Saccharomyces cerevisiae S288C: one gene and its partners. Changing the gene in region 3 together with the main gene of any one other region gives a genetic interaction. Each region holds a gene or a part of one and is shown on either strand. Other genes may lie near its edges. The genes, in order: PGM1, BUL1, RPT3 and ISU1.

Evidence for each region.
Region 1: mutations in RPT3 (region 3) and PGM1 together harm fitness more than expected from each alone (negative genetic interaction), as found in Saccharomyces cerevisiae (2 studies listed by BioGRID).
Region 2: mutations in RPT3 (region 3) and BUL1 together harm fitness more than expected from each alone (negative genetic interaction), as found in Saccharomyces cerevisiae (2 studies listed by BioGRID).
Region 4: mutations in RPT3 (region 3) and ISU1 together harm fitness more than expected from each alone (negative genetic interaction), as found in Saccharomyces cerevisiae (2 studies listed by BioGRID).

Annotation. Positions count from the first base shown.
Region 1 is NC_001143.9:201,703-205,753, reverse strand, and holds PGM1 (phosphoglucomutase PGM1), read right to left. Parts: upstream 2,214-4,051; coding exon 501-2,213; downstream 1-500. Other genes in the region: serine/threonine protein kinase YPK1, read right to left, coding at 1-47; PMU1 (putative phosphomutase), read left to right, coding at 3,983-4,051. UniProt on the Saccharomyces cerevisiae protein: Minor phosphoglucomutase isozyme that catalyzes the reversible interconversion of alpha-D-glucose 1-phosphate and alpha-D-glucose 6-phosphate. The mechanism proceeds via the intermediate compound alpha-D-glucose 1,6-bisphosphate.
Region 2 is NC_001145.3:812,876-822,405, forward strand, and holds BUL1 (ubiquitin-ubiquitin ligase BUL1), read right to left. Parts: upstream 5,707-9,530; coding exon 2,776-5,706; downstream 1-2,775. Other genes in the region: ZDS1 (Zds1p), read right to left, coding at 1-1,105; RCE1 (CAAX prenyl protease), read right to left, coding at 1,489-2,436; ubiquitin domain-containing protein DSK2, read left to right, coding at 5,952-7,073; FCP1 (protein serine/threonine phosphatase), read left to right, coding at 7,381-9,530. UniProt on the Saccharomyces cerevisiae protein: Component of a RSP5 ubiquitin ligase complex which specifies polyubiquitination and intracellular trafficking of the general amino acid permease GAP1 as well as other permeases such as PMA1.
Region 3 is NC_001136.10:1,260,118-1,267,605, reverse strand, and holds RPT3 (proteasome regulatory particle base subunit RPT3), read right to left. Parts: upstream 5,926-7,488; coding exon 4,639-5,925; downstream 1-4,638. Other genes in the region: UTP5 (Utp5p), read right to left, coding at 1-135; negative cofactor 2 transcription regulator complex subunit NCB2, read left to right, coding at 708-744, 837-1,240; SXM1 (Sxm1p), read right to left, coding at 1,448-4,282; SHE9 (She9p), read right to left, coding at 6,335-7,488. UniProt on the Saccharomyces cerevisiae protein: The 26S proteasome is involved in the ATP-dependent degradation of ubiquitinated proteins. The regulatory (or ATPase) complex confers ATP dependency and substrate specificity to the 26S complex.
Region 4 is NC_001148.4:293,209-300,155, reverse strand, and holds ISU1 (iron-binding protein ISU1), read right to left. Parts: upstream 2,604-6,947; coding exon 2,106-2,603; downstream 1-2,105. Other genes in the region: gluconeogenesis transcription factor RDS2, read left to right, coding at 1-268; ODC1 (mitochondrial 2-oxodicarboxylate carrier), read left to right, coding at 653-1,585; protein phosphatase regulator GIP3, read left to right, coding at 3,509-6,947. UniProt on the Saccharomyces cerevisiae protein: Scaffold protein for the de novo synthesis of iron-sulfur (Fe-S) clusters within mitochondria, which is required for maturation of both mitochondrial and cytoplasmic [2Fe-2S] and [4Fe-4S] proteins.

The DNA of each region.
Region 1 (4,051 bases), on a different chromosome or scaffold from region 3:
TCTTCTTTAGATTTTCCAAACTTAAACTTTGACTTCCAAGAATACATTTTCAGGAACTGTATTAATGTTTGTTGATATGAGAGGAACTTTGAAGTGTCAATTTCCCGCTGTATACAAAGAAATTGTAGAGTAATCTATATCAAAGAATATAAAGGCTTTGAAATTTAACCAAACACAAACAAACCAATTCTAAAAAGTATGGGAGCGAAAAATAACTCAACTGTTGTTGGTATGACGATAGTGTTGATTACCGTTGGCTCGTTCGGGATAAGCATTTTTTAAGCCTTCCAATAGGGGCATGTTTTGATCTTGTTTTCCTGTAGCGCGGCTCTGCCGCGAAGAAAGTCGCGAGTAACGAAAAACAAAAACAATGTTGTATTATGAAGCTAATTGATAAGTCAATCAGCAAAAAATAGATATACTACATATATCCTCTACATATAAATTAAGATCAGTTAAAACATCTTTGGAAAATTAGTGCTTGTTCAAGACCAATAATTCTATGTGCGGACTGTTGGTTCGTCTGTTCCTAAAATTTCTTTAAATCTTAAGAATTTTACAATGGAGTTGATGACGGGTTTCAAGAAGACGTCAGCTGTTTGGCCATAGTTCTCCTTTTTATCAGTATACTTTTCTACGTATAATCTTATTGTTGCACCAGAACTGCCTGTGCCGGATAACCTCAAAACAAATTTAGTCCCATTCGAAAACTTTACGAAAAGGCCTTGATTTTCAGAGATGGAGCCATCTAGATCTCTATACGAAAAATCACCACAATCGATAACGGTTAAAGACTCATCAGCTGGGAAGTGGGAGCCACAAACGTTTGGCCTTGATACAAATTCACTCAAAAGAGCTACAACTTTTTCGGCCTGCTCGCATTCGATATGTTCGTAATCGTATCTTGTGAAGAAAGTACGGCCATACTCGTTCCAAAATTCGTCCTGAATAGTTTTGATCGAAGCTTCCTTTTCAGGGTTACGCCTATGGTAGATAGCCAAGATATTTAACCAAGCAATAATGGCCCATAGACCGTCCTTTTCTCTGATATGATTGGAACCTGTACCGAAGGATTCTTCACCACAGATTGATAGCTTTTTAGCATCAAATAAGGCACAGAAGAATTTCCAGCCGGTTGGAACTTCGTAACATCTTAATCCCTTTTTTGCTGCAACACGATCAATGGCTGAGGATGTAGGAAATGAACGTGCCAAGCCATAAATACCTTGTTTGGCGAAGTATGGAATTTCGGGTGCATATTCGGCAATAATGGCAACAGAATCACCTGGCGAAACGAAAGCAGGGCCATAACCGTAAATCATATTCCTATCACCATCACCATCGGAGGCTGCTCCAAAGGCAATTTTTTCGCGGTCAACCCTGTCAACAAGAGTTCGTGCATAGGTTAGATTCGGATCGGGATGTAAACCGCCGAAATCAGGTAAAGGGTGCCAATTTTGAAGAACTTCCTCTGCCGGTAAACCAAATTCATCAACAAATATAGCCTTACCATATGGTCCTGTAATACCATTTAAGGAGTCAAACAACAACTTCCACCCTTTGTCTTTGCGCTGTTTCGCTAAGAAGCTTTTAATTAAGTCAAAATCAAAAATTTCCTTCAGAAATTGAACGTATGCTTTGGCAGGATCAATTATGTCCACTAACAATGGGCCATATTTTTGGTTTTTACCAAGCTTGTTCAAATTCAACTTGGGGAAGTTCTTTATAATTTTATAGTGAGTTAATTTTTTAGACGCTTCCCAGATAGCGTTAGTGACACTCTCTGGAGCTGGCCCACCATTAGGTAAATTATACTTGATACCTAAATCATTCTCTGGACCGCCTGGGTTGTGTGAGGCAGTTAATATGATACCACCACCGGTACACTTTTCCTCGTATGTTCTAATTATATGAGAAGCAGCTGGTGTTGAAAGTAAACCGCCTTGACCAATGACTAACTTTCTGACACCGTTTGCAGCACCTACTGCGGCAATCTTGTTCATGATAACATCGTTGTAGAAACGACCATCTCCTCCAACAACTAAAGTGGTTCCCTCTGAGCCATTAGGGATAGATTGCATTGTTGCTTGAATGAAGTTCTCAGTATAATGAGGCTCATCCATGAAAACCTTGGTCTTCTTACGTAAACCTGAAGTACCCGGTTTTTGGTCCTTATAAGCAACTGTTGGTACAGAATCTATTAGAAGTGACATTTACTATTCAATTGAGTTGTTAGTTACCTATTTTTGCACTATTGAACCGAAAGTGGATGAGAGAGAGAATGTTTATAGGTAGACCAAAATCGATGTGATGCGCCCTTCTCCTTTTCTTGCATCCGTAATATAAACGCGAAATACCAGGTAAAAAAAGACAAAATCTCAAATAGCGAGAATGCCGATTTTAGAACATCATTTTTCTATTTACAAGTATAGCATTGTCGGTACTGAATGCCCTTATTCCTCATGACAGACTGAAACCACCGTGATACAATTGTGGTAACGTCATACATTTGACATTTATCAGGGGAAGACAGAGATCCTCTACTAGGTCATATGCGGGATAAAAAAATCTCCACGTCAATAGTGTAAAATTGTAAATAAAACTGTGGGCATTGCTGTTCTCGAGAAAAGCTGCCACTTGTGTTTGAACGGTGTCGGCTTTAGCATCCTGTTTTAAAAAGAAAGCCCTGTAGGGGGCTCGAACCCCTAACCTTATGATTAAGAGTCATACGCGCTACCGATTGCGCCAACAAGGCTTTTAAACGTGATTGTGTTGTATCTCAAAATGAGATATGTCAGTATGACAATACGTCACCCTGAACGTTCATAAAACACATATGAAACAACCTTATAACAAAACGAACAACATGAGACAAAACCCGACCTTCCCTAGCTGAACTACCCAAAGTATAAATGCCTGAACAATTAGTTTAGATCCGAGATTCCGCGCTTCCACCACTTAGTATGATTCATATTTTATATAATATATAAGATAAGTAACATTCCGTGAATTAATCTGATAAACTGTTTTGACAACTGGTTACTTCCCTAAGACTGTTTATATTAGGATTGTCAAGACACTCCGGTATTACTCGAGCCCGTAATACAACAGATTGATACGACCGTTAGAAATCGATAATAGATTCTCTATAATAGGCTCATTATAATAACTACTATCCCTAAATTCACCTATTTCTCCATATCATGTACGGCAAGTTTTTTTGAGAAGAAATTTATTGTATTTTATACTTCACAATAATGCTTTTAGTAAGATGGGATCAGAACAATCATTACAAAATTTCATTTATAGTTCAGCGATAATGTTCTGAAAAAGTTTCAATTCAATTCACGTGAGGACAATAACACTATGTACAGTAGATAACTTAAAAGTTCTTCTGCCGCGTTTTGGATAATTTCACGAGGGGAAATGGACAATTTTACTTAATACTGCTACCATTTCTTCCCTCGTTTATATCCTTTCATTCATTGCTGGGTTTGCATGGTCAGTCCTTACTAATTAGCTTCCTATAAACTCGATGACAGTTAGGACGCTCACGGACAATTATATTCTGAAAACACAAGTAATACTATTAATCTTTTGTACCAACAATTGATTAATACCAAACTCTTATTCCAAACAAAAGAGGTTCGTACTTAGCCGGTCAAACCTGGGCTGCGAAAAAGTCCGTGAAAATTAAGAAGAGGCTCAGTGTTTTCAGATGAAAGCGATTAAAATTTACAGATATTATCTTCTATTGCGTGGTTGTGCAACGTTTGAATAAATATTTGTAATCCTAATTTCTTGCAGATTCGGATATGACCCAGCAGGCATGTGCGAGTCAAGTTAATTTTTCGGGTGCTAGCTAGTACTGGAAAAAGTAAAAAGTGTCATTTGCAAAAAAAAACCCTCGAGAGATTTGTATGTTATTTAACGATTTCTTTCCAAGACTCTGCTGCGTGAAATCACCAACAGTTATTCAACAATGTCACTCAGAGCAGTCCCAGGATATTTTGCTGCATATCCAAGTGAGGGTTTTCAAGGATTAGACTCC
Region 2 (9,530 bases), on a different chromosome or scaffold from region 3:
TGAATCTACTCCTTCTCAGTGACGATCGTTCAGGCCATGTCATGGTATTATTGATGGGCATATTGGAGGCAAATTCACCATCATCCAAAGTATTCGCTTGTGAAGTTGAAAAACCAATATCTCCTTCATCATAATGCCCTTCCGGTTGTGGTTGATCTTTTTTATCTGAATATGAACCAGCCATACTAAGAGTTCTGGCTAATGTAATGGCATCATTGTCGGTTAGTCCTGCACTATTTGAGATCTTTGTCAGTTCTTCAGTTATATCTCTTAACGACACTGGTCTCTCTTTTATTTTGGAGATTCTTTCTTCGACTTTATTTACTGTTTCAGAGGCACTGTCTCCCTTATTATCGTCATCTTCGTTATCATCAAACTCTGTATATGACCTCCGCAATGTTGAAGGCCTTCGTATTAGTGACGCGTTTCCATGCCTTGACAGCCCCCTGTTCAAGTTGATAGTGTTGTTCTCCTTATTTTCATATGATTGTGATTCTTTATCCTCCCCATTATCCTCAATATCGTTATTTTCATTGCTATTCCCATCATTATCTTCACCATTGTCGCTTAGTTGTATATTTTGTAAAGTATCTTGTACAAGCTCTAGGAAATTATCAGGCTTAACGTTAGGGTGTTGATTGGCGGGAACCCATAATAAGTTTTTCTTTAATACGTTAGCATTTAATTTCCTGGATGGAGAGTGAACACCTTTTTTTATACCTAAGTAGTTACCTTGTTTAGTCTTATTGGAGGATTCTATCCCTGAGTTACCCCTCCCATGCAAGTTCTCTAGCGGAGTTGGATCGCTATATCGTGTGTTATTAACGGTGGTTGTGTCACTTGGCATTGACGCAGAACTGGATGTCGTGCCAGACCATGATCGTCTCCCACTAGATTCCCCACCGAATTTTATATCTAATTCTGGATCAATAAGTAAATCCATTGACCCAATCGACAATCTTTTTAGGTTTTTTACGCTGCGGATTTCATTGTCAAGGGACTGTGCAGCAATCAAAACTTCAGACTTCCGTTTATCCCTTTGACTAGCGATCGCCTTATCGCTTGATGTAGTACGCAGCATGCTCTCGTTATCTCTATTGGACATTATAAAAGACAGCTAAATTCTCCTTTGAATTGAAAATATGTAACCCACAAAACAAACCAAAACTAACTAAGACCTTAAATTCTAGGAGACCAAATAAAAACCTTAAAAAAAGAAAAACGTCGAAACCTATTAGATGCCACCTTCTCTCTACTCTTAGATCTGACAACTTCAATACCACTGACACGAACGACTTGTTATTGAGTCCGTAATACAAAGTATAGGTACTTTATAGTCCTCCAAATTCTTTCACCAAAACACCAAAACTCGATTTTTTCACTCTTCCGTAACAAAAGCCCGGTCGCTCGATAGAATTCCATAATAGTAGTGAAAAAAGGTTATAGTACATAGGAAATTTTAAACGGTATACAAGTACGTAAAAAAGGCTAAAGGGTTATTCTATAACCAGGAGTTCCTACCAGAGTTTGTAAGGTATCCTTCAGGGATATTAATCCAAGGACCAGCAGTGCGAAGTAGCACTTATTCCAGATTGAGACCAATTTGGAAATGCGTCCAGCTTTCTTGTCTACTACTGTGAAATGTAAATTCAATCTTGAAGGACCAGGAAACCCCATGATATTGCAAAGGGCATGCAGGATTATGCAGCACCATAGGTTCCCGCCTGTTCTTACGAATACAAACTTGGTTAACCCTCCAAAAAGTGTTGTGTATAAAATTTGGAAGCATGTTGTCAGCAGAATGGAAACAGTTGTCATGGAGCCTTCCTGTAATTGCTCATAAGCATGGTGTGCGTGCGCAAGTCCAAAAAAAAGCGATGGTTGCCAAAATAACTGTTGATAGCTTAGTTGCGAATGCGGTATTAGGTTTAAGTACGTAGTCAAAAGCATTGACGTGTAAAATATTTCCTCAGTTATTGGTGCAAATATAAAATTCCTGAAACTCCAAATATTCAGGAATTCATGGTAAAAATCTTCAAGTATAGAGCTCTTTGGATTTAATAAATGATATAATACAAAATCTAAAACGGGTCCACAATATAAGGTCAATAACATCGCAACACATTTCGTTAAGTCTTTCACGAACTGGCTGAATTGCCAAGGGTTTGGCAATGCAGCGTAATAACCTGGGATAATACCTAAGCCTAAAAATGCGTCCTTGAAACTTATATGTGAAGTGGTACTAGATAATTGAGATTGTAAAAAAGGCACCAAAAAAAGGTTGGAAATTAGCATAATTGTAAGTTTTTGCATGCGAGATTTAATCGTTCGAGGATTATCTCGTTTAGACCCTTCTGGTTGTGAAGTTGCATATAGCGGTAGCACATAGGATATGGAGATGTATAGGAGCACTAGAAATGTTGAGAATTGTAGCATTGCTGTTCTGGTTCTCTCTATGACAGACAGTCAGTAGTCAAAGCATCAATTTATTTCGTTTTATTTTTCTTGACAAAGAAAATTCTATGTTTTGTTCCTGAAATCTCGATATTTTAGTAACTTAAAATAAAGGTAATAAAATCATCAAAGGTTTTCCATCCAGTGGTCCAAAAAAAAAAAAATACAGAAGCAACAAAAGAGCACCAGAAAATGCATTTTAAAAGAATTTTATTAATAATAGGGAATACAAAGGACGCGATAAATACCTTCATCTATAAGCAAACCATACATATATCTATATCTATAAGAAAAGTAACGAGAATTTTTTCTAATGTTTTTTTATTTTGTCACTTGCCTAACAGAAATAGGGATATCAATCTTCGCTACGCCAAGATGGTTTTCAAATTTAATCATTACTCGAACGCAATAAAACCTACAACATAGGCAGCTTTCAAAACTTGGAATTAAAGTTTCCTTAATGTCCTTATTAAATTCCAAGTTCACATTAATGTCTCGTTTGTACTGTAAAGGAGCAATCCTAACCCATTTATGAACAATCTGGTCTGTAAATTTCAGGGAAGTAGACGAGCTACCGCTAGGTAAAAATAAACTACTCTTGGATGAAGAAGTTACTGGCGTTAATGACGCTGAACTGGGCGACGATGAACTACCGTTACCTGTGTGCGATATTGAATCCTCAGATAATGCGTGCTTTGAGTGTTGTTTTAGGGTACTGACCTGTTTTTTAAAAATGTTGGATAAGTTGTGAACACTAACTTTCAAGTTGCAAATGCTTTCGATATCGTTAAACAGCTGTGAAGTAATAAAATCTGTAAATTTCAGTTCCTTTGGCCTACGGTCTCCCCTATTCATATTATATAACTCATTTAATTCAAGAAAATTCTTGTTGAACTTGGTTTCATATTCACAAATTTTTGAATGGAAATCATCGTACAAAGCTTTGATGCTTGTCAGCTTCTCTTTGTTCATCAACAGTTCAGAATTGAGTTTTATTGGGATAGAATTATCAGATTTAGCAGTTATACATATCAGTTCTGTGGTAATCGATTGAATTTCTGGCGGATCATGAGGTAAGCTATTATCGGATTCTATGCAAGTCAATTGTAAATCAAGTTTTTCCAATGGTTTTTTTACGTCTTCCGGAATCAACTCAGACAATCTCACCCAATTTTCTTGGTCGTGTTTACTCTTAGATTCAAAAACATTGGTCTTTCTCAATAATGAGGGAGCCCAATATGGTAGGCCCTGTTTTGGAATTTTCGCCTTTACTAGTATTAGCCCTGTCCTTTCTTTATTTCCCGTTAAATCATGATTATTCTTTCCCGCATTTGAGGAAGAGGACATTGAGCTGGAACTGCTGTTTAAAAAATGAGAGAAGTTCAGAAATGAGGAGGAATTGGATTTGTTTTTCAGTTTATATTTTAGTTCACTTTCAACAAAGGGACCCCAAGCTCTGGAAGTATCGGTATTATGACCACTATTTCCACTGCGGCCATTGTCCAAATCGTGGCCCAACTTCAAATCGTTATAGTTGACTAAATAGTTATTTCTGTTCTTAATGTGCAGTTGGTCCAATTTCCTCTGCAAAATTTCTTGGGAGTCTGATTCAATAGAATCATCAATGGTACCACTCAAGTCTGCACCGTGAATGTCGCGGTTCGTTATGGGTTCTTTTTTCTCTAATCTCTGAAAGATTTTTCTAAGAGCATCCAACCTTTCCTGCACTAGTTTGGTGATATCATTCAGCTGACTCATAGTGGTTCTTTCTCCGACGACATTGGCGTCAAAACCAAAAGGGATTACTCTTAGATTATATTCTCTTTCCTTCATAATATACAGTTTAGAGGCCTTTTGATCTTTACCGACAATCCTTGCATCAATAGTGTAATTGATCGAAAGGTTGTCATCAGACATATCGTTAGTTAAGATGGGGGAGCCCTTTGTACCTAAATGACCGCACCCAAGTACCCTATTGACTTTGATACCGGAATATTTGCAATTGTTCCTATATTTATCAATACCAAAACTGGGAGGTAACAAACAATGAGAGAAATGCTCCTGCTTACAAGTGACATCTAGCAATTGCAGTGGCAATTTGAAAATGAAGAATTTCTTGTACTTGACTCCGGGTTCCAGAACCCGGCTATTGTTTAGCCCAAATACAGAACCATCGTAGTCAACATCTGCGGGAATGAAGTCCACACCGGACCCCAGTGCTATTTTCGAGTATGACCAAGAAGCGCTCAAGTCTACCATCCTTAAAAACCGTTTAATCGTTCTTTTACTCTTTACTTTATCAATAATGGAAATGTAAGACTCTAAAGTGACATAGAACATTTCAAACTTTAGGTTTGCTTGAGATTTGTTTTCAATAGTGATAAAACCATGAATCAAATCCCCCGACGTATACTCTTTCAAAATGGACTCCTCCTCCGGCTTCACGTGTGGTATAGGTGCATGCTTCGTCGTCTTGATGGTGATTTCGATGGGTGTGGACATTTTTGGTAAAGTGTACAATTTGTCGATGAAAATGTTGTCTGTATCGTTCAAGTCATCAAGTATGGGAGGTATATCCAGTGAATCTTCATCGACAGCGGTTGATTGATGTGCTGCAATACTGTGATGTTCGGTTCGAAGGGGAATTAAGTTTTCTAAATTTGATGTTGACGAAGAACGTGTGGCACCCAATGCGTCAGTGGACAATGATTGATGTGAGAGATCAGCGCTCGAGCCCGCAGCACCTGTTGCAGTAGAATTATTGGCCTCTTGGTATGAAGGTGGGAAATCATGCCTATCTGGATCGACGTTGCCCTGCGGAATGTGCCTATGCAGGGTATTGTACATCTCAAATGAGGGCAGTACATCAACAACATTGTTGATATCTCCGTCGGTCAAGGACCTTCCGGTCTCGACGGGGGTCGCATTTGCAGTTGATCTTCTCAAAGGAGAACGATTACCTCCAGCAGGCGTTCCGGTGGAAGGAGCATGCGAATGAGAATGTGCTAGTTCGGGACGTCTTAGTCCAAGGATCCCCGTAGCAGACGCGCTTCTTATCCATGATTTTGGAGAGTGTAACGACGGTGACCTCGAACTGCCTTTACCACCCTCTTGTTTCTGCCTACCACGCCCCCTTGTGTTTGCATTAACGTTCATAGTTGTCGAACTATTTGCGGTAAAATCAGATCGTTGAGGACGCAGCAAAGGCTTCCTCTTCGGTGGAAACCCCGAATCGTTCAAATCTTTGGCCATTTAGCGTACGATATACCTGTTGACACACACGAACAGTCTCTTTTCGCCCTTGCTAAGAGCTTCTTTCCATAATCACTATGCGGCTCTTCATTGCAATACTTTTATCATTATTAAAATAGCCTCTGAGAGCGGGTCACGGCCCGCTGAAGGGAAAGAACAATTTAAAGCCAGTTTTAAGTTCAATCCACCGATGGACGAGAGGCAAATAAGACGGATCAAAGACACCGAATCATTCTAGCACGATAATGTCGTTGAATATACATATCAAGTCAGGACAAGACAAGTGGGAAGTAAATGTGGCACCTGAAAGCACAGTGTTGCAATTCAAGGAGGCGATAAACAAAGCGAACGGTATCCCGGTGGCAAATCAGAGATTGATCTACTCGGGTAAGATTTTAAAGGACGACCAAACCGTGGAGTCATACCACATTCAAGACGGTCACAGCGTCCATCTGGTCAAGTCACAACCCAAACCACAAACCGCCAGTGCCGCTGGCGCAAATAACGCCACCGCCACCGGTGCAGCAGCTGGCACTGGCGCCACCCCGAACATGTCGTCAGGTCAAAGTGCAGGCTTCAATCCGCTGGCCGACTTGACCAGTGCCAGATACGCTGGATATTTGAATATGCCATCTGCAGACATGTTTGGCCCGGACGGTGGTGCATTAAACAACGACTCGAATAACCAAGACGAGCTGTTGAGGATGATGGAAAACCCCATCTTCCAATCGCAAATGAACGAGATGTTGAGTAACCCTCAGATGTTGGACTTTATGATCCAGTCCAACCCGCAATTGCAGGCCATGGGTCCACAAGCCAGGCAAATGCTACAAAGTCCCATGTTTAGACAGATGCTCACCAATCCTGATATGATTAGACAGAGCATGCAATTCGCAAGAATGATGGACCCTAATGCCGGTATGGGCTCTGCAGGTGGGGCTGCCTCTGCCTTCCCCGCTCCTGGTGGCGATGCTCCAGAGGAAGGCTCCAACACGAACACTACTTCCTCATCCAACACAGGGAACAACGCAGGGACTAATGCAGGTACCAACGCAGGCGCTAACACAGCTGCAAACCCATTTGCGTCTCTTCTGAACCCTGCATTAAACCCCTTTGCTAACGCGGGAAACGCTGCATCCACCGGGATGCCCGCCTTCGATCCTGCATTGCTAGCGTCTATGTTCCAACCCCCTGTACAAGCATCTCAAGCAGAAGACACCAGACCACCGGAAGAACGCTATGAACATCAATTAAGACAACTAAACGACATGGGCTTCTTCGATTTCGATAGAAACGTCGCAGCCCTCAGGAGAAGCGGTGGCTCCGTCCAAGGCGCTCTTGATTCACTACTGAACGGCGATGTTTAAATAAACGTCTAGATGCCGCAACCTATATACTTTTACCCTACTCTATCGGCATATATTTAATCTACGTATTACATGTATCCATCAATAATATCATCATAATATCTGGACACTTTTGGAAGACGCGCCCTTGCGAAAGAAAAAAAAAAATTTTCGTTTCACACCTACAGTAATAAACACATAATAACAACGAGCTAATCATCCCAATCAATCACCCCTTCCCCCTTTAATTAGCAGCCAGGGTACTGTATTTAGTCATATAGCGGTACTTGCATTGACCGCGAACGTGTAAACACAAGCAAAGCAGATTATGACCACACAAATAAGGTCTCCCCAAGGCTTGCCGTATCCGATTCAGATCGATAAACTCATTCCAAGCGTAGGTTCGTACCTTCATGAGGGTGATAGGTTGCTTGTCTATAAGTTCTGGTATTTGGTGGAAAGGGCCTCAGACACTGGTGACGATGATAACGAGCACGATGTTTCCCCCGGCGGCAGCGCCGGAAGTAATGGTGTCTCTCCGCCAACCAAACAACTGCGTGAATCCATAGAATTCTTCGAAAGTCCCTACGAGGGGGACTTGATTAGTTGGAATGTAGACGTAGGAGATGAAGTAGCCACTGCTAACCAAGTGATTTGCGAAATAAAAAGGCCATGTAACCATGACATCGTGTATGGCGGGCTATGTACTCAATGCGGGAAAGAAGTTTCTGCAGATGCCTTCGATGGTGTACCACTAGACGTTGTCGGGGACGTGGATTTACAGATTAGCGAGACAGAAGCCATTAGAACAGGCAAGGCATTGAAGGAGCATTTGCGACGGGATAAGAAACTTATCTTAGTGGTGGATTTAGATCAAACCATCATCCATTGTGGCGTGGACCCTACGATTGCAGAGTGGAAGAACGACCCCAATAATCCGAATTTTGAAACATTAAGAGACGTCAAGAGCTTTACGTTGGATGAGGAGTTAGTACTCCCACTTATGTACATGAATGACGATGGTTCTATGCTGAGACCGCCTCCCGTAAGAAAATGTTGGTACTACGTGAAGGTAAGGCCCGGTTTAAAGGAATTTTTCGCTAAAGTGGCGCCTCTTTTTGAAATGCATATCTACACAATGGCTACAAGGGCTTATGCCTTGCAAATTGCCAAAATCGTGGACCCTACGGGCGAATTGTTTGGCGATAGAATTCTGTCGCGTGATGAAAATGGGTCTCTAACAACTAAATCATTAGCTAAACTTTTCCCCACTGACCAGTCAATGGTTGTAGTTATTGACGACAGAGGTGATGTTTGGAATTGGTGTCCAAACTTGATCAAAGTTGTTCCTTATAACTTCTTCGTTGGTGTAGGTGACATTAATTCTAATTTCTTGCCCAAACAATCTACAGGAATGCTACAACTAGGGAGGAAGACAAGACAGAAGAGCCAAGAATCTCAGGAACTGCTGACGGATATTATGGATAACGAAAAAAAACTACAAGAAAAGATAGATAAAGAAGTTAAACGCCAAGAAGAAAAATTGAACCATCAACTGGCGACTGCTGAGGAGCCTCCTGCGAACGAATCCAAAGAAGAGTTGACCAAGAAACTAGAATATTCAGCATCTTTAGAAGTCCAACAACAAAATCGACCCTTGGCCAAACTACAAAAACACCTGCATGATCAAAAACTACTAGTTGATGACGATGATGAACTATACTACTTAATGGGTACGCTATCAAACATTCACAAAACTTATTATGATATGCTCTCACAACAAAATGAGCCAGAACCAAATCTGATGGAAATCATACCAAGTTTGAAGCAAAAAGTCTTCCAAAATTGCTATTTTGTTTTTTCAGGATTAATACCCCTCGGGACCGATATTCAAAGGTCGGACATAGTGATATGGACGAGTACATTTGGTGCCACTTCCACTCCAGATATAGATTACCTGACGACACATTTAATCACCAAGAACCCTAGCACTTATAAAGCGCGTCTAGCGAAAAAGTTCAACCCACAGATTAAAATTGTTCACCCAGATTGGATATTTGAGTGTTTGGTAAATTGGAAAAAGGTGGATGAAAAACCCTACACGTTAATCGTGGACAGCCCCATCTCCGACGAGGAATTACAAAACTTTCAAACACAATTACAAAAAAGACAAGAATATCTGGAGGAGACCCAGGAACAACAGCATATGTTGACATCACAAGAAAATCTAAATTTATTCGCTGCTGGTACTTCATGGTTAAACAATGACGACGATGAAGATATTCCGGACACAGCTAGCGACGACGACGAAGATGACGACCACGACGACGAAAGTGATGACGAAAACAACTCGGAAGGCATTGACAGAAAGAGGAGCATCGAGGACAATCATGATGATACATCACAAAAGAAGACCAAGGCGGAACCTTCTCAAGATGGTCCTGTACAACATAAAGGAGAAGGGGATGACAACGAAGA
Region 3 (7,488 bases):
CACTGTATCAACTCCGGAGGAAGTGGCCCTTTGAGTGGGCTGTACACCAACGCGTTGCTTGTCCAAAGCTACAGTGACATAACACAAATACTGACCTGATGGGTCATAAGCGGACTGTAGAACAGGAGAATCCATCGGTAATGAACAATTATAAGGCAAATGTGTCTTTTACCCTCTTGCTAAGCCAAGTTTAAACTATATATGCTCTGCATCTATCTTTACATACATATATCCTATCCAATACTTGTTAATTTTTTCACCTCATCGCTTCAGCTGCGAAAGATTAGAAAAAGAAATGAAAAAAAATTGGATAAAATTTTTTTGTCAAGAAGCTCATCCCCGTGTTAAATGACAATCAAAGAATAAGGGGAACTGTACAACACGTTCAACCAAAACTATTGTAAAGAAATGCCACCACTATGCAGCATAGCCTGTTCATGCGAATAGTCGCCGCAAAAATTACGATCTGGTTTAATCAGCTCGGGCTCTTATCTTTGGCGTATTCCAGTATGTGCAATTAACTCTTGCACCACTTTAAAACGCCCAGCCCGCTGCACTCTCCCTCCTATATAAATGGAAGCGGTTTTTGGTCGCGCTTTTCGCCCTCTGCTCGCCTTGTCGATTTCTATCGTGCAGAGTTACCAGTATAAGGTGGGCAAGAAATCATAACGATATTTACTAATACAGTTGTACCTATTAATTAATTGATGGCTGGAGACTCCGATAATGTGTCGCTTCCCAAGGGTATGTTAGTTATATTGTTGTTGCAAAACTCAAGCTTTGATGCGGGTACTGAGCGGTTATACTAACTTAGAGAAAACACTGAATGATCTTAGCGACCGTACAAAAGATGATATCTGAAATACTGGACCAGGATTTGATGTTTACCAAGGATGCAAGAGAAATCATCATCAACTCCGGCATAGAATTCATAATGATCCTGTCCTCGATGGCTTCCGAAATGGCGGACAACGAGGCTAAGAAAACCATAGCGCCCGAGCACGTGATCAAAGCGCTAGAAGAGTTGGAGTATAATGAGTTTATACCATTCTTAGAGGAAATATTATTGAATTTTAAGGGTTCCCAGAAGGTGAAAGAAACTAGGGATTCCAAGTTCAAGAAGTCAGGTCTCTCGGAAGAAGAGCTGCTACGACAACAAGAGGAGTTGTTTAGACAGTCAAGGTCCAGATTACACCACAATAGTGTATCTGATCCGGTTAAGTCGGAGGATTCTTCTTGAATAGAAGCTTCTAAACAAAGTAATGCTATATACGAAAATAAACCACATGGGAATATGTTAAGCGCATGCATGTATGTAATAAAAACGAAGACAAGTCCAAAAAAAAAAAAGAACGAAAAAGAAACAACTTTTATATTTGTATATTAGAGTATAAACTAATATCCTTATTTCAAACTATCACATTCCACTATTTTTTTTGTGTTCTCCTCAGTGTTGAGAAACAAATTCCAGAATTACCTGCAAGGAATCTCTCTTAGATTCATCCAGATAATTTATGATTTTTTCGTACTTACCGGCATCTTCGTTTTGCAAATTCTTGAAAAAGGTATGTACTTCCTGGAAAACATTAATTTGGTCTAACACTGTCTCCTTCATATCATCATCACATTCGATAAAGTATTCTTCTTCTTCTTCTGGGGTCAGGTCTCCTTCTAAGGATTTGCCCTCGGTAACAGCATCACGGTTTCTAATTGCCTTTGGCAATGATAATGTCAATTCCACCAGTTTATTGGTCAGGTTATTTAGTAGTGGGCTGACACTATTAGGAACTTCAGGCATCTTCAAAAGGGTTAAAATGACCAGGACTTGTAATTTGATGGCGAAGACACTGTAGAACTTTTCATTAAACCAATTGGTAAAGAAATTTATAGTAAAACCTTCATTTTCCATTATTTGTAAAGTTTCGATTGGTTTAGCAAACAAATTGGCCAGTCCCAGTTTAACGATGCATTTAGAGTCCAATCCTAGCTCATCATTAGTGGATACTTTGATGGCTTTGCTGAATAATGGAATGTCTCTCATGGACAGTGCGAAGTACATTAGAATTTGCATAACATGCTCGATGTCGTAGTCAACTTCACTTTCCAGTTTAGCAGAGAGAATTTCTAGCAGAGGTTGAACATAAGTTTGATCTTGTGGGAAGCCGGTCATCACGATGGTTTCAAAAAAAATACTGTAGGCCTCAAAATAGTCCATGGCATAAGTTTGGAAAGAATCCAATATATCATGTAACAACTCCCATATTGGTGGTGCAATTTGGTTATAAAGCAGATGCGAAGAAATAGTTAAAGCATCCAGTAAGTCGACAGCTTCCGTAATAAAAGAAATTTGTGCATGAAGTACAACAAACTTGACCACGGGAGCTAAGGACTCGATTAATGGAACTTTATTCATTGACATGACCATAGTAGTCATTGTTTGTAACAATCCACTGGCCTGGATTTCCTGCTCTTGGTCACTTGCGCTGTAGGTTTCCGATGGATTTTCTACCAATGCTTGAGCAATACGTAAAAATTGTTCGACTAGGTTTGAAGCTAAATCTTTAGCAAATGGGGATAGTTCATCTGAAAATCTCTCCACCAATGCTTCCATGACTTCAGATAAGATATCGATTTCAAAGATTTTAGACAATTTCAATAGCTTTTCCATCATACCTGGAACATGAGCAGAGACCGCTGGGTGGATTTGAGGATTGGATACAATTAAACATTTAATGGCATCTGCGGCCTCAATTTGGACTGGTAAAACGTTACTGTTTAAGAAGTTGGTATATGTTAACTCAAATAATTGTGACAATATGTTCATATCTTTAAATTCTTCCGAATACAGCGCTATCGTTTCCAAACTTCTTGCAACCAAAAACATGTACTTATCCTGCGATAACAATGGCACGATGAAGTGTCCAAAAATATTCTCCAGAACGGATGGCTCATCTATAAACGAAAACAAGTTAGACAATGTTCTCAAAGCACCCTCTTCTTTAAATGCCATGTTAATATCACTGGAATTGGCATCGAATCTAGTAAAAATATCATTAATGAACGGTAAAATATTGTTCAGTTTCTCAGGACGTTTGGACCCAATCAAGAATATGAAATCTGCTGAAGCAGCATCTGGCGTAGAGCCTTCTCTGTTAATGTCAAAATAACGCCTGGTATATTCCTCTTGGTCATCTTCTAATAATTCGATGGATTGTTCATTAGCACACAAACATGGGAAGATGACGTTCTCAAAAATAATTTGTAAATGTGGCTCAATTAAAGGATAAAGTTGATCTATTGTAACACATTTCTCTAGGAATGAAATTAAGAAATACAAAGAGGAATCGGATAACCATAGTGAATTATTACCCCAAGCTTCAATATCCTTAAAAAATTCTCGAAGAATTATAGGAACAATAGTATTGAAGATATAGTCGATAAATTCCTTGGTGATGGCCTTTGTAATTTTGTTGTATCTTTGCAGGAATCTGTTTAAGTTACCGAACCCCCATTTGTTCACTTTAACCCTTTTGTCTAGGGACCTATCTGCGGGATCCAGTTCCATTACTTCGACTGGTAATGGTTTGGAACATAAATACAAATGTAGTTGCACCCATGACATAATTCTTTCAGGTTGGCTGAAGTATTGAGGCAAGTTGTTCAAACATGCATACTTGAATGACTTCAAAATGAGGTACAATATTTCATTAGATCTGTAATCCGTTTGACTACCGATATTAGAAGCTATCCCTTCCACAATAGGGAAAAGTTCTTCGATAACAGAATCAATATAATCTCTCGACCCAACCATGTCCCACCTATGAGCTTTACAAAGTTGGAACAGTAGTAGTAACCCGGGATAAATGTACGATGCGTCACCGCTCGATAATAAATTCTTGATAATAGGTGCTAAATCCCAATCTTCCTGACCAACAAGTATCCCATTTATGGTTTCAGTCAGGATAGGCCTAATGTGGTTATTTTCACAGTTTTTAACTAAAGTCTCGATTAACCTTTCCTTGATCGAAAGCTTTTCGTCAGCTTTTATACCATCTTCTCTCTTAGTATCCCATGATCTGTGAATCTTATTCTTCAAATAAATAGCAGAAGAAAGACGAACATTTAGCGCAAAATTATCATCAGACACTATATTAAGCAGAAAAGAAGTAAACCCAGGTTGCTTCTGGAACTCAAATAACTGCTGTTCTGCCTCTTTGATAATTTTTGCATCAGCAACCATAGTCTGCTCAATGCAGCTCAAAATTGCCTGTTCTTGTACCATTTCCTTTTTTGATTTATCTCCTTTGTTGTAGACGGGCGCAATGTTAAATGTTTATGACACAAATCGAATAGCAAATCTACACTGGGATGAAGCAGAGACTGCGTACTTGATATTTTGGTTGTACTTTATTGATTGAGATACTTGTTGATAGGTACTCATCTTACCATCTCATTTGGAAAAAAAAATATCACAGAAAAAAAAAAGTGAAAAACTTGGCTAGCGACGTCCGGTTGCGCGCGGAATAACGCTAAGAAACGTGATAAAAAAGTGGCGTCTGTATTTATTTCATTTAGTGTTGTCTAGATAGAAATGTACGTAATACTTTATGTAGACCTACGTTGAAGCATATATGGTAATCATTTGTAGAAGTCGAATTTATCGACGGTATTATCTGTCTTGACTTGAGTGGCGTAAGCTTCTTCCAGATCGCTTTGTAAGATGACATATCTGTTTTTCCTCACTGCTCTTAAACCAGCTTCCTGCATGATCGCTGCAATAACAGCACCTGATAGAGAGTCGTTACGAATAATAAGCGAGTCTAAGTCCGCTTCTGGGGCAAGGGACATCTTACTGGCAATGGTACCGAAAATCAAACGACGTTCACGCCTATCACGAAGTGAGGGAAACTCAATCTTTCTATCTAATCTGCCTGGTCTCAGCAAAGCTGGGTCCAATGTGTCTGCCCTGTTTGTAGCCATGATGACTTTAACGTTGGTGGATTGATCGAAACCATCCATTTGTGTCAACAACTCAATCAGGATACGCTGTACTTCACGATCGGAACCCGTTTGAGCATCAAAACGCTTTGTGGCAATGGAATCTACCTCATCTATGAATATAATGGATGGAGCATTTTCCCTGGCGAGTCTAAAGACGTCACGAACCATTCTTGGACCTTCACCAAGATATTTGTGAACAAATTCGGAGCCATTAACTCTTATGAATGCAGCTTTTGTACTATTGGCGACGGCTTTAACAAGCATCGTCTTACCGGTACCTGGTGGACCATATAATAGAACACCCCTAGGAGGGTCAATACCGATTTGCTCGTATAGATCAGCCTGAACTAATGGCAGCTCTACGGCTTCCCTGATTTCTTGCTTTTGCATATCTAACCCACCAACATCTGCATAAGTGACGTCAGGTTTTTCGTTTTCGCCCATTACGGATATGCTAGAGTCGGAATCAGGTGGTAGGATGTCAACTAAAGCATTTGAATGACGATGTAAAGCTACAGACATAGATGGCTTTAATAGTTCACGGTCTAGGGTTGATAATATTCTAACGACATAACTCATACCTGTGGTACTAGAAACAATACCTGTGTTCTGATCAATAGGTTCTAAGAATTGCCCGATAACTAATGGAACCGACTGGATTCTCTTTACTTCTTCTTGAGCTCTCTTCAATTCACGTTTCAAATGGCGTTGTTCGTCCTTAATATAGTCTTCTTGCAAAGTCAGCAGTTCATACTCTTTTTCTAATTTCTTCAATTTGAAATATATATCAGAATTCACATTAGACAGGGCACTGTTATTGTTGACTGTACCATTGAGTTGAGCCAACAATGATGCGTATGATTTGACGGCTGGTTTTTCTTCGACTGCCTTTTCGACAGGTGTCACAATACCTAGTTCCTCCATTCTTGTTGTGGTTTTTACTTTATAAATACTTGAATTTTATCCGATTGCCTCTTGTATAACTTATGAGTGAAAGGAAATAGGCAGAATTGGTTTGTCCACACACTGAGAATCTGAGCCCTATTACTTCCTATATTCATGGCTATACCCAATTACTGCAGATTTACTATTTTGCCACCTTACTTTCAGGAAAAATATGAAAGGGCACATCGCGCGCTACGAAGAGCCAAACATTAGAGAAATTTTGATTATAATGGATTACACCAGCTAAACATTAGCTAGGTAAGGTTAAGGATATTGAAACCAAAACGTGCTATTTACTGTGTATTTATGATTTTATTATGTACAAGGATAAAGGATGAAAAAAATGCATGCGTGTTTTTTTAACGATATTCTTGCGCAGTATATCATGTCATATCAGCCCGGATACCAAGATTGTCATACTCACTAAAGAAATTGAGTATAAGTAGAACTCTAAGGTGTCAAAGACTAGGGGAGCGTCAAGTTTCCTATATTGTATGCTTTTTAGTGTGACAAAAAGTGCCTTTATTCGTTCCCAAATATCTCTGAAGGATTTCATTTCTGTTGTAGTGGTCTCAGCCGTTGCAACTTCAGGCCTGTCGATTTCCGCCGTATTAATTTTACATTCACCTCTCTGTTCTATGTGCTCTTCAACGATCGAGTTTTCTGTGTTGCCTTGGTCTGTTACTTCCGATGATTTTCCAGGTAACAATTTATCCATCTTCATATTCTGCTCCTTGGCATATTCGTTGAGAGCGCTTTTGACTTTGTCTTCAAACGATCCTACTAACCTTTTCCGTTTCCAAGGTTCTAATAGTAATTGTAGGACAATAAACAAGAATATATTCATACCCATTAAGATGAATGTACCCCAGGTGGATGTTCTTCGGATTTTGTCTGACCATATTTGTTCCTCATGGTACCTGGTCAAAATTGCTCTATACAAGTCGTCATTTAGTTGTTCTTCTTTGCTTTCAATTTCTTTAACCTTGTTTTTTAGTTCTTGCTCCTGTCTAGCATTCAAGGCGTCATTTTTGTATAGCTGCGTAAATCTCTCTAAATCGCTCGAAGACCACGCGCTTTGCCTTTGCAATAATTCGTTAACTTCTCTTTGGGATTGAGCACGTTCATCAATGGCGTTAGCGTACTGTGCCTTAAACAGTTTGTGTTCTTTCTTTGTAGCTTCTAATTTTTTTTCCATTAGACTGATGCTAGATTTGAGCTTTTGAATTCCAGAATAACCGGTCACATCATTTAAAGCACGTGTGGCAGTAAATAACGTCTCCTGTAATGAGTCAAAATAAAACTCTAACTTTCTAGACCATTTTTTTCTATGTTGTTCCCTTTCGGAGGGCAATCCTTCAATTTTCGCACTGGTCAATTCATCTTTATTATAGTTTAAACGGGAATCGTTGATTTCATTCTCTTGCTCAGACAACTTCCTGTTTGCCTCTTGAATTGATTTTTTGGCCTTGTTAACTTGAAAGGATAATTGATCTCGGTGGAAGTTAAACCTAGAATACAATTCATTTAATTTCTTTTTCA
Region 4 (6,947 bases), on a different chromosome or scaffold from region 3:
TGCTTCACTGGTTGACTGCACAGTCGATGATTTACGCGATGGAAAGCTTGCGATCTACGAGTTGATGACAGAAGAAAGCGCTGTGAATTTCTGGGAAAAATACGGGTCCATAGCGTTTGATAAGGGTCAGAAGGCTGTTTTAACAAGTTGTAGTCTTCGAACCAAAGATGGAATCCGCAAACGGCCATGCTGTTTTAGTTTCACTATCAGAAGGGATAGGTACAACATCCCAATTTGCATCGTCGGGAATTTCATCCCTTTGTCATAAGCATAAGTAATACATAGTAGGTAATTGGTATTTCCAGCGTCATTAAAAAGCAAAGTAACGGGTTTACTTTTTCCTCAAGCCGCTGGCCCGAGCAGTTACTTGAAATAGCCGTATTACTACGAGCAATACGAAGACCTTTTTCTACCAGCATTTGTTTTTTTTCAAATCATTCCCATTATTACCCCAGGATCTTTTCATAATGCGGCGACCAGAGATAGGGAAAAAAACTGCGAACTGGCTGAATCTGATTTGGCGAAGGGCAGATTCTCGGGTATTTCTGTGAGGGTGACCGCCGTTGATATATATCAGTGACTTTTGGGAACCTTTATCTCATTTATTCTCAAGATAGAACTGTAACGAGGGTGAAAGAAAAAGAACTGTAAGATGACATCTATAGATAATAGACCTTTGCCGTTCATATACCAGTTCACAGCCGGTGCCATTGCCGGCGTCTCGGAGCTATTGGTGATGTATCCATTGGACGTGGTGAAGACAAGAATGCAATTACAAGTGACAACCAAAGGTCATCCCGCTGTTGTTGCAGCGAAAGCAGCAGTAGATCACTACACGGGCGTGATGGATTGTCTTACAAAAATTGTGAAGAAGGAAGGATTTTCGCATCTTTACAAGGGTATCACATCGCCTATATTAATGGAGGCTCCGAAAAGAGCAATTAAGTTCTCCGGAAACGATACATTCCAAACGTTTTATAAAAAGATTTTCCCCACGCCCAATGGGGAGATGACTCAAAAAATCGCCATATACAGTGGTGCGTCCGCTGGCGCCGTGGAAGCCTTTGTCGTCGCGCCTTTTGAACTAGTGAAGATTAGATTACAGGATGTGAATTCACAGTTCAAGACACCCATTGAAGTTGTAAAGAATAGTGTTGTGAAAGGTGGTGTTTTGTCACTTTTCAATGGGTTGGAAGCCACTATCTGGAGACACGTTCTTTGGAATGCCGGTTATTTCGGTATAATATTCCAAATTCGGAAGCTTTTGCCGGCGGCTAAAACAAGCACGGAAAAGACCAGAAATGATTTGATCGCAGGTGCTATTGGTGGCACTGTCGGGTGCTTGTTGAATACACCATTTGACGTGGTAAAATCTAGGATCCAAAGAAGTTCCGGGCCGCTGAGGAAGTACAACTGGTCCCTGCCTTCAGTGCTGTTAGTTTACCGTGAGGAAGGGTTTAAAGCATTGTATAAGGGATTTGCGCCAAAGGTCATGAGACTTGCCCCCGGTGGTGGGTTATTGTTGGTAGTTTTCACGAACGTCATGGATTTTTTCAGAGAAGTCAAGTATGGTAAAAAACAATGATCCTGACGCTTTTTATTTCATTTTGTTGTAGCCCGCCCATACATGTATACGTATATATATATATATATTTATTGGAAGTAAAAGTAAAAAACTCGCTTACCTAGCACATGTTTAAACAAGCGTTGAAATGAAGGAAATAATGAAAGTCTAGTTTTGTCTAGCGATAAATAGTGTTAATTAAAACAGCCTTTTACAACTAAAGAATATTTATATAATAATGATGCCATATACCACACATGGGAAAACAAATATATAAGGGGGAAGTGGGAGGATGAAAAAAGAGTAATGAAAATACTAGTAGTACCAGGTGAGGTAAAACAAGCACGTCCGTCCCGCTTTCACCCTGGAGAAATATATCTAGGAAGATATGCATGAGAAGAGGGAGAGAAAGGAAATGCTAGATTAAGGGAAAGAAATATGACAATATTAATGAGAAACATCCATGCTTGCACAAATTAAGTCCAACTTGTTGATTAGTGAGGGTTTGATCTTGTTCTTGTCCCGGTTATCTTCTTATTCATTACGATAACATGGTTGGAGTGTTTCTCTTAGATTTGTAGTCCTTAATAGCTGCCTTGATCGCATCTTCCGCTAACATAGAGCAATGCAACTTGACTGGGGGCAAGCTCAACTCCTTAGCAATTTCAGTGTTCTTAATTTTTGCCGCATCGTCCAAGGTCATCCCCTGTACCAATTCAGTCATATATGAAGAGGAGGCAATGGCGGAGCCACATCCAAAAGTTTTGAATTTGACATCTTCAATAACGCCAGTAGAGTCGTTGACTTTGATCTGCAACCTCATCACATCACCGCACGCTGGCGCACCCACTAGACCAGTGCCGACGTTGGGCAATTTTTTATCTAATGAGCCGACGTTTCTTGGATGTGTATAATGCTCTATGACCTTGGGATGATAAAGCCTTTTCGTTATGCTGGACGCTCTCAAAACCCCCATGGCATTCACAGGTCTGATGGCCATCAGAGCAGGCCTTGCAAATCTCGTTATAACAGGAAGCATCAGGTTAAATATGTGTTATGTGTTGTGTTTTCCTTATTCAATTGTTATATGAAGGGATGTTCTTATGGATTTAAGAATAATCTCTGAACACAAATATATATGCGGAAGAGCGAAGGAAGAGAGCAGAAAAGGCTACAACGAAACCCTTTCATTTACTTATATAAATAGCCTGAGTCATTTTTCCTCTCAATTTTTGCATCATCATGATCATACATGCTTTTTTTTTCCTTCTCCATGGCTAATTGGGGTGCAACGCACCTTATCGCCTTTGACGGCCTTGGCTAAGCGGAGATAAAGCCTCCGAACTTCGGCCCCGAAGGGATTGGCGCGGATATACACGGAAATAGCTTGTCATTTTTCCTTCGGTTGATGTCCGCGGACCGAGAAGTGGTGTTTCCACATTACGTCTCAGTGATGCAATCATCATGGCACGGGCATTAATTAAGGTTAAGGAACCACTTCTCTACGCCATACTCCAAACAATAACAATATTAGACCTAGCCAATTGATACCCATGAGCGTGCAGTCATTGCCATGGATTATTCATCTCTTTTCGCTGTTCTCTTTCTTTTCAAGTTTGTCATCATCATGCCTTCACTTTTGCCTTTCCATCTTTCTTTTTGCTGCAAAATAAAGGGAAGAGGGGTAAAAACGCAAGGAAGAACAAGAAGAAGAGGGTAGTGCAAGAAAAAGAAAAGAAGAAAAAAAAAAAAAAGTAATCTTGATACCGTGAGCAAATAAGCTAACGGAAAGCGTAAGAAAGAAGAGCGTGTTTTGGGAAATAACACCACAGCATAAAGCTAAAATTCAGTTTATATAATCTATAGTAGTCCTATAGAAATTGCGAATAACGGAAACAATAGTCCACCAAAGCAAGCATAGGGAGTGGAGATAGCATCTAGGTTATGATAACTAACACCGAGTTCGATGTGCCCGTAGATTGGTTGTATAAAGGTAAGAGTAGACGGAAGACAAATACGAAGCCATCGAGGCCTTCTACGTCGCCAGCCTCCTCTTCATCTACGTCCTCTTCGAAAAACGGAGACAATAGCACGAGTGGTAACAGGTCTAGCAATGATAAGCCTCGTGCGAGGTCGTCATCTGTATCCAATGCAGCACTTTGTAATACTGAGAAACCAGATTTGAAGAGGAACGATGGTAATACCTCTGCATCAGACACTGATAACATACCGCTACTTACTCCTATTAATAGCGGTAACCGGAGCGATTCCGCTGACATTGATAATCCGGCTACCGTAGACGCCATAGACCTTATAGATAATGATGACAACGGCTCAAGTACTCAATTTGTAAGGAAAAAACGTTCCACTTCTATATCCAATGCTGTGGTCTCGTCCAAACCAAGACTGGCCAGTTCTGCCATAAACGCCACCGCATCTTCTTCTGTTGGCAAGGGAAAGCACCCGCCAATTTCTTCACCATCTAATGCTACTCTCAAGAGAAGCAACTCGACTAGTGGAGAAAAGACTAAAAGGTCGATTTTTGGATCTTTGTTTAGCAAACGGTCTACCTCTTCTTCAGCTTCCACTGCCAAGAAACCATTACCTGTTGTTAATACTAGCACGACTGAGAATGAGTCTGGTGGCATTAAAGCAGTTGCGACTCCTGATCCACGGGTGAAGGAGATATCATCACCAATGAGAGGAGTGGCACCAACAGCTAGCAAGCCACAGACACCTATACTCCCCTCCCCTGCACTTGCAGTAAAAGACCTATCTACAGTTTCATTGAAAAGGGTCTCGTTTGCCGTCGATAAATTCGAATCCGATCCTCCCCAACAACTTCCTTCAAGAACCCCAAAAAAGGGAAACATCCTTATCCCTGATGACATGATAAGCGAGGTTCCTTCTATTTCCGTGGGTATTTCCAGTAGCAACCAATCGGCCAAGTCAACCAATTCCAACATTAAGGGACCGTTGTACACTAAGAAGTCTAAAGAATATATACTCGCCCTGGAAAATCAAAAGTTGGCTTTAAGGGAGGCTGCTAAGCATCAGCAAGAAGCTCATTTTGCTGCTAATAGAATAGCCTTTGAAGTAGCCAATTTTAAGACTGCTTCGGATGCAGGCGGTAAGCTTACTGAAAAGTCATCAGAAGGCACCATTACGAAGCAAAGAGAAGAGGTGTCACCTCCAAATGTTGAAGCTGATCGGGAGCTTGAGAATAATAAACTTGCAGAAAACCTCTCAAAAGCCGGCATTGATAAGCCCATTCATATGCATGAGCACTATTTCAAGGAACCTGATCAAGATAAGTACCAAGACGGTCATTCTATTGAAAATAACGAAGTTACGCTGGATGTTATTTACACAAGATGCTGCCATTTAAGGGAAATTTTACCCATTCCGTCTACCCTAAGACAAGTAAAGGACAAGACAGCTCCCTTGCAAATATTGAAGTTTTTGAACCCTAAGCCTACCTTGATCGATATTCTTTCCTTTTGTGATTTCATCACCATTGCTCCCATTCACACGATTGTTTTCGACAATGTAGCTTTAAACCAGGATATGTTCAGAATAATTATTTCTGCTTTGGTAAACTCCACAGTTTTGGACAAATTGAGTTTAAGAAATGTACGAATCGACCAAGATGGATGGAAATTACTATGTAAGTTCCTTTTGCTAAACAAATCACTGAACAAGCTCGACATTTCCCAAACGAAAATCAAATCTGACCTTGCTGAATCACTATATCGCCATAACATGGATTGGAACTTGTTTACTGACGTCTTGTCTCAGAGATCTCACAAACCTATAGAAGAATTGTTATTCAATGGTATTCAATTTAGCAAAATTCCTTACTCATGCTTTGCACGTTTACTGACATCCTTTGCTACCCAAAAAAACTTTCCAGAATCGGGCATCAGGCTTGGTTTAGCAGGTGCCACTACTTCCAATATCTCTCAGGATTGTCTGAAATTTATCTTCAATTGGATGTCTCAATATAACGTCCAGGGTGTGGATCTAGCGTTTAATGATCTGTCCACTATGATTAAGCCAATGGTTGGTAAACTATCTGCTCTATCATATGATAACTTAAGATATTTCATTTTGAACAGCACTAATATTTCGACTTCTTATGATTTAGCTTTGCTCTTGAAATATCTTTCTAAGTTGCCTAACTTGATTTTTTTGGATTTGAGTAATTTGTCGCAATGCTTTCCTGACATTTTACCCTACATGTACAAGTATTTACCAAGATTTCCGAACCTGAAGAGGATACATTTGGATAGCAATAATTTGACATTAAAGGAACTAGCTGTCGTTTGTAATATTTTGATTAAGTGCAAATCGCTCTCGCATGTGTCAATGACTAATCAAAACGTTGAAAACTTCTATCTAATGAACGGCACAGATTCTCCCGTTCAACAAACTAACACAGACGGCGACTTGGATAGTTCGAGCACATTGGACGTTAAGGGCCAATTTGCTAAAAATAGTTTTTCATCCACACTTTACGCATTTGCTAGAGACTCTCCAAACTTGATTGGTTTAGATTTTGACTATGATTTGATATCAGAAGAGATTCAATCAAGAATAGCACTGTGCTTGATGAGAAATATGAAACGGACCATGGATTCGACTTTCCAGTTAGATGAATTGGATTCGCAAGATGATTTGCTATTCGATGGCTCTTTAGTAACTATGACCGCTGAAAGTGTTTTAGAAAAACTGAACTTGTTAAGCGATAAGAGTACAAAGGTCAAAAAAGACACCACGAAGAGATATTTGCTGAAAAAATATATTGAAAAGTTCCATATCTTGCACCATAATGTTCAGCATACAATAGATACTATGTTCGAAAAAAGGAAATCAGGTGAATTGCCATTGCAAGAAAAAGAAAACCTTGTAAGATTACTCCTTTTGGAACAAAACTTATGCAATATACTAGAATTGTTTTCGCATAATCCGAATCTGAATGATGTCCTTGGATCCAGCAGGGATGATTCGAAGGAAAGTGTTGACTCCAGCGAAGATTCAAAATTACCAGCATTGAAGCACGTTGAATCCGGATACCATGTTCCCGAAGAAAAAATACAACCTGAGAATGATGTAATTACAGCAAGACCACATTTAATGGCCACCGATTCTGGTAAAACTATTGACGTTTTCACAGGCAAACCATTGGTGTTCAAGCATACATCATCTAGTACTTCTGTAGGTTGTAAAAAGCAGGAAGAAGAAGAAGGTGAACTACATAAATGGGGTTTCTTCGTTCAGCAGCAGAGGTCTTTATACCCTGAAAATGAATCAACAAGGCAGACACCTTTTGCATCAGGTGATACGCCTATCAACACAGAAACAGCTGGTAAGTCAACTTCAT